3 linked regions of the Sus scrofa genome follow. The protein of the gene in region 2 interacts with the protein of the main gene of each other region in a biochemical or structural test. Links are inferred from orthologs where the notes say so. Each region holds a gene or a part of one and is shown on either strand. Other genes may lie near its edges.

Evidence for each region.
Region 1: the proteins of MAFG (region 2) and NFE2L1 form a complex in vitro, tested with the Homo sapiens proteins (2 studies listed by BioGRID and IntAct, with this or other methods). The link is inferred for Sus scrofa from reciprocal best matches to the Homo sapiens genes MAFG and NFE2L1.
Region 3: the proteins of MAFG (region 2) and NFE2 form a complex in vitro, tested with the Homo sapiens proteins (2 studies listed by BioGRID and IntAct, with this or other methods). The link is inferred for Sus scrofa from reciprocal best matches to the Homo sapiens genes MAFG and NFE2.

Annotation. Positions count from the first base shown.
Region 1 is NC_010454.4:24,301,942-24,306,273, forward strand, and holds the start of NFE2L1 (nuclear factor erythroid 2-related factor 1), read left to right. Parts: upstream 1-1,439; 5' UTR 1,440-1,569; intron 1,570-1,836; exon of another isoform or gene 1,837-1,977; intron 1,978-1,983; exon of another isoform or gene 1,984-2,109; intron 2,110-3,051; 5' UTR 3,052-3,563; coding exon 3,564-4,073; intron 4,074-4,332.
Region 2 is NC_010454.4:1,067,807-1,071,901, forward strand, and holds the start of MAFG (transcription factor MafG), read left to right. Parts: upstream 1-1,267; 5' UTR 1,268-1,342; intron 1,343-1,686; exon of another isoform or gene 1,687-1,739; intron 1,740-1,789; exon of another isoform or gene 1,790-4,095. UniProt on the Homo sapiens protein: Since they lack a putative transactivation domain, the small Mafs behave as transcriptional repressors when they dimerize among themselves.
Region 3 is NC_010447.5:19,496,433-19,498,894, forward strand, and holds part of NFE2 (transcription factor NF-E2 45 kDa subunit), read right to left. Parts: intron 1,316-2,462; exon of another isoform or gene 1,089-1,315; intron 905-1,088; 5' UTR 850-904; coding exon 736-849; intron 1-735. UniProt on the Homo sapiens protein: Component of the NF-E2 complex essential for regulating erythroid and megakaryocytic maturation and differentiation. Binds to the hypersensitive site 2 (HS2) of the beta-globin control region (LCR).

The sequences.
Region 1 (4,332 bases), about 23 Mb from region 2:
CCTTCGATTATTAAGCAAGCATTTATTGAGTGTCTAAGTAGCAGGCACTTTTCTAGGTTTTGAAGACTCCACAGTCAGTGCACAAGATTCTAGTCCTTGTGGCGTTTGTATTCTAGCAATTTCTGGGAGAGAAATAGTAAGACGAAGAAATAAAATGTGCTCTCTGAATCTGACTTTGAAACAGGTAGCCAGCGTTTACGTTTTTTAAAGATTCAATGAATGGATGCTACTGTGTACTTCCATATGGCGAAAGTGCTTTATAATCTGGGAACCACCTCGAATTAAGCCGCCTAACTCTCCAAACACGTGATGGACTCAATGTTCTCACCGAATGACTTACCAGTTAGCCTTGTCCTTGATTGTACAAGGACCAGTGACTCGCCCACTAGATTAGTGGGATCTTCCAAGGAGTCAAGAATTTGAGTCAATGCCTCTTTGTCCCACAGCTAGGAACAACTCACTACATACTCCAACTCGGCCACTGGTTAAAAGTGGTCTCCGCACCCATCCGAGGTTATTGGGTCGTAAGTGAATCAGAACCTCGGGCATGGTGCCTCCAAATGTGCAAGTTTAACAACTTCCGCAAGTGTTGCTGGGGGTAAACTAATATTTGAAAATCACGAATACGTGGGCTAGGCGAGATTAGAAAACACTAGAAACTGAGGAAAGTTATGGAAAAGCAGGAGTAACGTAAGTGGGAGGTTGAGCAGAGACCATACAGGGGCGGAGCTCTTTGGGGTGTTGTAATCATGACAAAAAAATCACTAATTATGCCACACACCATCGTGGCAACATCGCCGAGCTGCCGCCACAGTTTGACCCTTGTCTGACATGTGGTGCAAAGATCCCGGACTGGCAAGGAACCCCGTGCCAAGCTTCCACGGAGCGGAAGCTGAGAGAGTGGTTTCCGCTGCCAGCAGCTAAGATGGTGGCACGAGCGTCGTCAAACCCGCCAAATACACACGCTGTGCCCCCACCTCGGCCTCTCAGGTCTCACTGGACTTTTGCAAGTCATCGTGGGAACCCTCATGGGGGGGATTCCGCGCTCCGACGGCGATACCACCTCCCACACCCGGCCAGAAGCCTTTATCCTCCAGCTCAAAGAACGCACTAGAAGAGGTCGGCCTCCTCGCTTTGCTCCGAGCCCAGCCTGTAATTCCCGCGGCTGGCGCACGGCGGAGGGAGTCTAGAACGCCGAGCGATAGGACCTTAGCCCCACTTATTGGTGGGCCTGCGCCGCGGGGCGGGCCTACATGCCCATTGGACTGCGGAGCTTGTCAGTCTTGGGAAATCGGTAAAGGGAGGAGGAGGTACACTTAGCCATTGGGCTTTCCCTGCTGTCAATCAAAGCGACATCCGGCGACGGCCACTATCTCGGCTCGTTGATTGGAAGAAACGTGTTCCTGGGGAGGGCGCGGGGGGCGGGCTTCCGAGTGAGGTGGGAGGAGGGGGCGGGGAGGGAAACGGAGGCTGGCGAGCTCTAGGCCGGCCGGCGGTGGCGGCGGCAAGGCCTGGACTCGGGCTGAGGGCCTGCTGGGACAGCAGCGGCGGACGCCGAGCTCAGCAGCGGTATCAAGCACATTTTTTTCCCTCACGGGAGGGGCGCAGTGCCGCGGGGCCAAGGCTTATGGGGTGAAGGGCGGCGGGGTGGAGCTGAGGGGCAGGAGGCGGGAGCGGGCGGCCGCGAGCGGGGTTCGCTCGGGGCTGGGCCTTGGACCTGGCAGGGAGGGGCCCAGAGGCTGTGGAGAAAGCCGGCTTCGGGGTGGGTTGGACTGGGGAGGGCTGAGGGCCTGAGAAGGCGTGGTATTAGGCCCGGGCTTGGGAGCGGGGTGGGGCCATAGGGGCGGAGGGCGGGGTGGGGTTTGGCCATCCGGGTGGGTCAAGGCCAGGAAAGTAGCACTTGTTCGCTGCTGCCCCAGAAGGCTAGAAGCCGAGGCGCCAGGAGCGGCATGGCGACTTGGTCCCAGCCGGACTCGGGTATCCGGGGCAGGGTGGGACCGGGCTCAGACCTGGCCTTCCTCGATCTTTAAGGGACCTCGTCCATTTGCCCGAACTTAATTGGCTCTTGGGAGGTTTTAGTAATAAATCGCGTGAGAACTGGAGGGTAGTGTAAGCAGGAATTCTAGATCGTAATTATGTTTACTCTAACCAGATAAGGGTGTGTGTGTGTGTGTCTGTGTGTATGTATAGATCCCTTTTTCTCTTTAGGATTGGGTCACAACAGTGAAGAAGAGAGAGTTATGTGTTGGTTTGTGAGGTTAATGGAAGCTCCGAAGTAGAGACTAGAAACTGAAAGGCAGCTTTGCTCTCTCTCCACTTGGCTATCTGGGTTGAGGACTTGGCCATATCCTTCTGCTTTGGCTCAGAAGGTCACATGAATGAAAATAAAACCTGCCTATTCAAATTCTGGGCCAAATAATCCTGCCTCAGCCCCCACCCCCCTCCCTTCAGTACCCCCCACCTTTTTTTTTTTCCTTTAATGTAAGAATGATAGGAAAGGGAAGTCAGGTTTCAAAATCGGGAAAACAGAAAAAGCATTTTTTCTGTAATGTGTTGTCCTCTCATCCTTGTACACTCTCAGCCAGTAATAATAATCTCTCCCTCCCCTTTAGAACTTGAAGGGAGAGGACTTGTAGGAGGCTCTCTCCTGAGAGATGGCAAGCAAACTTTCTTTTAAGATAGGAAATGGACTTCTCAACCTAAAAATAGAATCTGGGTAGTGTATACTTGGGGTGGGGGAGGGTTGATAAATTGGACAACATGTAAAATAGTTAGGATGCCCTGGGCATTATCTGCTTATCTGAAATGAACTTTAGAGTCCTGCACAGTTAATAGCCAGATACTGAGATCCCTGGTGAGCAGAATCTTCCTTTCGTAGTTATTCTTGTCTATAACAAATTTTTGGGTTTTTTTGTTTTTACGAGCGTATAACTGAGTTATTGTTGAGTAAAAAATAAGAGTGGTCTTTTAATATGTTTTCTGCTTTCTGCCTTGATCGTGGATGAAAAATGATGGACTCTTATCCTGTTGCTTTTGTGGTTCCCATTTCAGGTTTCTCTGGAAACCCCCCTGGTAAGTGTGGAGGAGGCGGGACACTCTGACCCAAGACAAAAGGCCTGTAGCTCCAGCCAAAGAAAATAAACCTTAGGAGGGAGAAGGAAAAAAAAAAAAAAAAAAATCCATCAGCTGTTCCTGAGAACAGCCTGCAGTGGAATCTACAAAGGACAACTAATGTGAGTGAGGAAGTGACTGTATGTGGACTGTGGAGACAGGAAGTCACGTGGGCCCGGAGGGCCTGGACTGGGTTAGGAACAGTTGTACTTTCAGCAGTGTGGTGTCACGAAGGGAAAAGTGAATGTGGTCTGGAGAGTGGCCTTGGCTCCAAGGGCTGTGCTTTCCTCTGAGGCCATCAGGGAGCTCGGCCCCTGTGTTCCCCAGGGGCGGGGTCCGGGGTTTGGCCCTGAGGGGGGTAACTTGCTGGCTGGAGCAGCAGAGCAGTGGCCTTGATTTGTCTTTTGGAAGATTTAAAAACCAGAAAGCATAAACATTCTGGTCCTTCAGCAATGCTTTCTCTGAAGAAATACTTAACGGAAGGACTCCTCCAGTTCACCATTCTGCTCAGTTTGATTGGGGTGCGGGTGGACGTGGATACTTACCTGACCTCACAGCTCCCCCCGCTCCGGGAGATCATCCTGGGGCCCAGTTCTGCCTATACTCAGACCCAGTTCCACAACCTGAGGAATACCTTGGATGGCTATGGTATCCACCCCAAGAGCATAGACCTGGACAATTACTTCACTGCCCGGCGGCTCCTCAGTCAGGTGAGGGCCCTGGACAGGTTCCAGGTGCCCACCACTGAGGTTAACGCCTGGCTGGTCCACCGGGATCCGGAGGGGTCGGTCTCTGGCAGCCAGCCCAGCTCAGGCCTCGCCCTCGAGAGTTCCAGTGGTCTCCAAGATGTGACAGGCCCAGACAACGGGGTGCGAGAGAGCGAAACGGAGCAGGGATTCAGTGAAGATTTGGAGGATTTGGGAGCTGTAGCCCCTCCAGTCAGTGGAGACTTAACCAAAGAGGTTAGTGGCTACATGGAGGGGCGGGTGGGGAGGGTCTGGGGTTGGAGGGCGCGGTGGGCTGGTCCTGAAGGAATGGGGTGGTGGTATTCGTAAACCCTTGTAAAGAACCAGAGAGGGTGTTCTTGGATACGAATGGGCTTAACTGTCTGCCTGGGATTGGAGGCTGGGAGTATTTTCCTTAGGTTGAGTGGTTGACCCACCTCTAAATGGACCGTCAGGGCAGTGGGCGGTTCCTAGAACATGCCTGTGTGTTTACTGC
Region 2 (4,095 bases):
TGACAGAGTGCTTTGGGATTCAGAGGGAAGCTACTGGAGTCTGGCAGGGAGGGTTTCTGACACCTTGATGCTCCAAGGCTCTAGGGGCCACCTGGGTGGCCTTTGTCGTTCCTTCAGTGGCACTGAATTCCCATAAGGATCCTGCCCTCGTCCCTGGCTCCTCCCTCTTTCAGCTCATCTGATCTCACTGACCTGTCTGGTGGGGGGGGGCGCGACCCTTCCTGACCTCACACCTGAGAAGAGACGTCCAGAATCTGGAAGTAGAATTGGGTCCCTTCAGTTTCCCTTCTTCCTTTCCAGACCTCTTTCTCTGGGGATTTTGAACAGAAGTGAGAAGTCCTTACAGAAAGTGTAGAAACTTTCTGTAAGGGTCCATGGGTCCATGGACGGGGACCTAAGCTCGGGGCAGACGCTGGTGAAACAGAAAGGAAAGGCGCACCCCCTACATCAACTATGAATTCAACAGATGCTTACTGATGCCCACATTCACCGCACCCACTCTGAGCCAGACGGGTTCTAGGAGCCGCCTGAGCCCGGTCCCTCATGTGAGGTCTCGGGATGCTGGGTGAAGACAGACCACACTACTCAGAAGCCTTGGAGGCGGCCTTGAGCTTCGGACAAACCCTTCGCCTCCCTGAGCCTGTGGGTCTCCTGTGAACCAGACAGCTGTTCCTGGCAAGGCTGAGGCCCGCTCCGCAATTACGGAGGCAAGGCATGCAGAGCCTGCCGGGGAGTAACAGAAACACCATGAGGACCTTCTCCATAATGCGTACGGACCTCGGATCCGCAACAGAAAACCGGACACGTGGCCTTTGCAACGTCTGCGCACAAGCCTCAGGAGAGCTTCAGAGGACCACGAGGCCCCGCCTCAAAGGGGGCGTGGCCGGACAGGGAGCGCGCGCCCGGGCCAGTCCCGCGAGACCTCACCCATCGGGCGCGGCGCGCGTTGCCAGGGCGACGGCGCCCGGCGCGCAGGCGCAGTGCCGGCGCGCTCTGCCGCCCGCCGCCGCCGTCGCCGCCGCCGCGCCTTCCCCTTTAAGCCCCAGCCGGTCGCGTCGCCGCTTCATGAATGGAGCCCACGTGACCAAACATCATGTGACGTCTGAGGAGCGGCGGCGGGCGGCGGCGGCGGCGGCGGCGGCCGGCGGCGGCGGCGGCGGCGGCGGATCCCGAGCCCCGAGCCTGGTCCGGCCCGGCCTTCCAAGCGCGCTCGGACCGGCCCGCGCAGGCGGCGAGCCCCTACCCCGGGCCCGGAGCCCCCGCGCGGCCCACTCCCGCGCGGCCTCGGAGTGCCCGCCCCGCCCCGCCCCAGCCTCGGCCCGCCGGGCCCGCAGTGTGGTGGGTGAGTGCGGCGGCGGCCGGGCCGGGGCAGGGCGCGGGGCAGCTGGGGGCTCCGGGCCGAGGGCGGGCTTCCGCGGGGCCTCGGCTCCTTCGGGCGTCCGGGGCGGCGCGGGCCGGACGCTCCGAGCTTCGGCTCTGCCCCGCGCCCTGCTGGCGGCCCGTGCCTCGATTTCCCCACTAGTCAGAAGCGGCTTCCTGCCCTTGCGCCTGGGGTGCTCGGGTGGGCGCGGGGGTGCCCACAGGGGCGGGGCGGGGCTTGCGCGGGCTGGCTTGCTGGGCCGGGGCGTCCTGGAGGGAGGGGCGGCCGGGGTGGCGGGAGGAAAGGGTGGGGTCGATCGGGGAGCCCAGGGCTCCGCGGAAGAGCCTGGCCGTCCCAGCCTGAGCTGCTGATTCATCAGGTGTCTGTGTTAACGCCTCTCGGACGCGGGGGTCCTTGGAGGCCGGGGGGAAGGGGGCGGCACGTGGGGGGTGGCTAGGAAGACCCTCCCCGCGCCGACTTCGCTCTGTCACACTCGTGCCAGAGCCCAGAGGGAGACTTGCTGAGTCATCAGCATGAGGTCACTCGATGCTTGTCCTGATGCCTGGGGGGATTTGAGCGAGGGGCTCGAGAGGCTGGAAGCGAGAGGTGAGAGCTAAACCAGGGAGTGGGAAGGGGCTAGGCCCCAGGCTGGGGTGCCTGCTTAAGTTCGGGCTGATGTGCGTGTTGAAGGTTTGGGGGGTGAGTAAATGGAGGGACCGCTATTCTTATTATTCTGGGGTAGAGGGTGAAGACCCTGGTCCGTCCATCCCCTCCCCGGCAGGCTTTTCTCAGGCTGCTGGTCCCTGACCCGCGTCTGGGACAGTTCCCCAAACTGGGAAATAGTTCTCTGAGTGAGAAGAGGGAGGAGCTTAGGGGGGCTGTGCTTGCGGGCTGGGAAGCCGGCTTTCCTTATGACTGGTCTGGTTGGCCAGGCTGGGCAGCCTCTGGGCGGGGAAGATGGGGAGACAGTGGGAGAAAGAGGGGTGCCTGTACCCGGTTTCTGGGTAACAGTGGACAGGGCAGGGGGCATGTAGGTGCAGCTCTACCAGGAAATTGCCAATGAGAGGAAGCAGCAGGACTTAGACTTCAGGGGAGTTGGTGTCTGGTGAGCAGGCCCTGCCTCTCTTCACAGCCCGCCGTGGGGTCTGGCTCGAGGCTGTGGGTGGCGGTAGCTTGGAGGGCACCCACCTTCAGGGCACTGGACTGGGGTGGACGGCATGGGCTGAAGAATCTCAGTCACCCCGGATTGTTCTGGTTGGGCTCAGGGTTGTGCAGCTTAACAAAGAAGGTGGTCCTGATGGGGTGGTGGTGGGGACTCCTGGGGAGGGAACTCCAGCCTGAGGGTCGTGTGGCCTGAGCCACCTTCCTAAGTGAATGGGTGGTTCCTGGTCTCCAGGGGCGGGGGTGGGAGTGGGGGTCTTTCCTCTAGACCAGAGCTGATCCTTTTGCCCAGGGGTTCAAGGCTAGGTAAGGCTGACCTTGTGCTTTGTCCTCAGGCATTACTTCCGCTCCCCTTCACCCCAGCCCTGGGCATACAGATGCCAGCTGATCTTTTTTTTTTTTTTTTTTTTCCTGGCCACAGCATGCAGTGGCTTGAAGTGGGATCTCAATTCCCAGAAAAGGGATGGAACCCAGGCCGCAGCAGTAAAAGTGCCGAGTGCTAAGCACCAGACCACCAGGGAACTCCCACCAGCTGATCTTTTGGCTGGAGTTTTATGAAAATGCAGATTCCTAGAGTGGTATTTCTTTAAATCTTCTCAGCTACTTGCGTTTGGTGGGAATGAAGTTTGAGACACTTTTCAGAGGGCTTCTGGGGAAATGGGTCCGAAGGGCAGGGTGAGTGTAGCGGGCTGGGGGGGGTGCCAGGATGACCGGGGCCACGCCTGCCGGGGAGGTTTGGCCACTGCGGTTTGTAGGACAGGAGAAGCAGGAGCGAGCTGGCCTCCTGCCCAGTGTCCATGCCCTGGAGTTTGAGCCCAGGGGAGGGGGAGGGGGCCCTCTCTCCTTCCTGGCCGGCTCTCAGCTTGAGTGGCTAGGCCTGGGTACCTTGGTGGGTATGCACTCTGGGGACCACCCCTGCCTCCTCCCCGAAGTGGGCTCAGCCTCTGGGGGAGCAGAGGCAGGAGGAGGGCTGCAGGGAGGCAGCGTCTCCTTGAAACGGCCTCGGGGATCCCCTTCCTCCGGCTTCTAGAGGTGCCCTGAGACCTCGGTCCCAACCCAGGCCCACAGGGTGTCTCGTCCTGGAACTGTGAGGCCCCAGGTAGCGGAGACCAGGCCAGGAGGCCGGAAGGCAGGCCTCGCCGAGACCCCCTCCCCCAGCCGAGCGCGCACACCTTTGATTAGGAGGCGATTGGCTGCACTTGTGCTGAGTTCAGGGCTTCTGCGCCGGGAAATCTGTCGAGGAGGCACTTTTCGGCTCCCAGCCGCCACGCTCGGCACTTTTCTGGGTGATTCTTCAGGAAGTCACCGTGGGCTCAGCATTCAAGTCTGGAGGGAAGGGGGTGGATGAGAAAAGCTGGTGCCGAGGCTTTTCCTTCGGGCTGACAGTCGTAGGGCCAGTGCGGTGACCTGGTACCGGGGCCGGAGGCTGGGGGTGCCCCTCTGACTGTGTCTTGCGGGCCTGGCTCCCAGCGTAGGCGTGGGGACCTCTGGCCTCCAGCTCCTCTACCCCTGGTAGGACAGCGGGGCTGGGGCCTCTGGCCTCCCGTCTGCAGCCTCCTGGCTCAGGGCCGGGT
Region 3 (2,462 bases), on a different chromosome or scaffold from region 2:
ACCGGGGCTTGATGGCTGGGGAGAGAATGGGGTGGGCATAGAGCCAGGTCTGAGGCTAAGAGGTACCTCAGGGAGCCTGCACTAGTTCTGCCCTCTCCCCTTCGGTCTCTCTGTCCCTGCCCAGGTGCAGAGAGGAGGAGAGAACATGCTAGAAACAGGGCCCCCAACCCACATCGGGGAGCCACCTTGCTCCAGCCCGCCTGGCGACAAAGGCATCATTGTTAAACCAACAGACACCCCTTTGTCCAACTAGCAGAAGGAGAGGACCCCGGCATAGCCTGCCCCCCCCCTTCCCGAGGCCCCTGAACTACTACTGCTCTGCTACCTGAGGGAAAGGGGCCCAGCTGCTGAGGGGGGAATGAAGGAGGAAGATGGGCAGGATGGGAGGAGTCAGCATAGAAGGTGAGGAAGGAAAGACGGGGCCTGAGGTGGGGTAGAGAGACGTGAGCAGAGTGGCTGCTGAGAGAGCTTACACCCCCAATCAGATCCTTCCTTCCCCACCACTCCTATCTCCTGCTCATCCACACCCCCTCCCCCTCAAGGCTCCCCCGTCTGCCATCCAGATCGCCCTCCAGCTCCAGCCCTTCTCTTTACAGCGCCTAAAGCATTGCCATCTTGAGCCCCTGGGCTCTGCTTGCTCCAGCCCCCTGCCTCAGACCCAGCCAGACTCCCCGTTTCTCCCTTTTCCCTCCCCCTACCGCCCCTCCCACCCCCAACTCTCCCACCCCCACTCACCTGCAGCTCAGTGATGGACATGATCTCTTGCCAAGTCAGTTCCATCTCACCCAGCTCCGGAGTGGGCAACTGTGTCACCCTGTTCCTGCTCTGCTGGGGAGGACACGGGGGCATCCTACTGGGCCAGGGCCTGGTCCAAGGTCCTGAAAGCCCAAATGGTCCCAGCAGTCTGTGTCAAAGGAGAAACAGGGGTTAGGAAGTCCCCTGCCATGGGTCAGCAGTGTTGTCCTCCTCCATGGAGAGGCTCCTCCAGCCAGGGAAGGAGACACCTCACTGCCCCCCATTCGTGCTGGACTCATCAACCAACTCCCTAAGCAAGAAAGCCCTTTTCTGCCGTGTTATCCCTACCTCACCTGCTCTGGCTGTAGGCAGTTCCTTTGGGAGCACAGTAGGTGTTTATCTTCTTTTCACAAGATGCCTTCTCTTTCCCCTATTTCTTAGTCCCCAAAACCGTATCACTGGCCGGGACAGAAGTCACATCATTTAAGGGTGTTTTTCCGCCTGTTTCCTGCTGCAACATCAGGGGATCACTTCTGCTGTCCTCCTCTGCCTTCAGTTTTAAGATCTCAGTCTTTTCTTTCCAAGATGAGAGCAAGCGCTTGGGGATGCCCAAGGAGCGCCTTGTGGGAAGAGCCAGCAGACAGCCCCGCCCCTTCTCTGAGATACAGCCCAGGCCTGGTGGCTGATAGCAGCCCTGCCCTCTCCTCCTATCCTGGCCCTGGGCTCCCCTGCCTGGGCCAGATAAGAGGTTTATCAGCTGCAGGCAGCAGAAGAGGAATGGTCTCTGGAGACACTGGACCTCTGCCCTGTGTCCTGCAGGGTCATCTTGGCTATTCCCCACCCCAGACAACCAGGGGTCTTTCCTCTCCGAAGGTCATGCAACAACCATAGCAGAGACTTATTCAGCATCTGTCAAGAACTGCGCTGGTGTTTCAGAAGCGTTCGCTTATGAGATTGATTTTCACGTACATCCTACAAGATCCATTGAGAAATTGAGACTCAAGCTCATAAATAGCAGGGTCAGGTCTGTCTGGAACCCACCCTCGCTCACTGTACGAGTCTACGCTGCCTTCCAGGCCCCTTCCCAATCCCACTCCCCTGTCTCCACATGCCCAGACTCTCCTGGCGGTTGCCACTGGTCAGCCCTTTCTGTGGAATCTCAGTCTGTCTTCTCTTCCACAGAATCACTCTTTAGAGGCTTGAATACACACTTCCCTCTGTCCCCTTGTCTTTGGATCTGGGTTCTAGCTGCAGCTCTGCCACAAAGCAATGGCGCGATGTTGGGCAAGTCATCACATTTCTCTGAGCCTCTGTTTCCTCATTTGTAAAACCAGGGAGTTAGACAAGTTGAACTTGGAGGTCCCTGTCTGCTCGGGCAGCTGAATGTTCTCAGCAACCCCTCACACTTGTCTTCATCTTCTCCCTTCTGCCAGCCTCTTTCCTCATCCAACCGTCTCACCATGCATCTGTTCACCCCGCCTTCAGCAAGAGATTCCAAGTAAATTTGGCAAGGGCCTCCTGATCTCTTAGGGCCTGACCCTGCACCCTACCTTGGCCACAGAAGTAAAGGCAGGCAGGCAGGTTGCGGTGGGGACGGATTTAGAGAAAGATAGAGCCTAGGATGGGATGACCTCAGTCACCACAAGGATGGCCTGTCACAGCTATTCAGTATGGAATCCACTGTTTGATTCAGCCCGAAATTAGTGTGAAGTGCAAACGACCCTTGC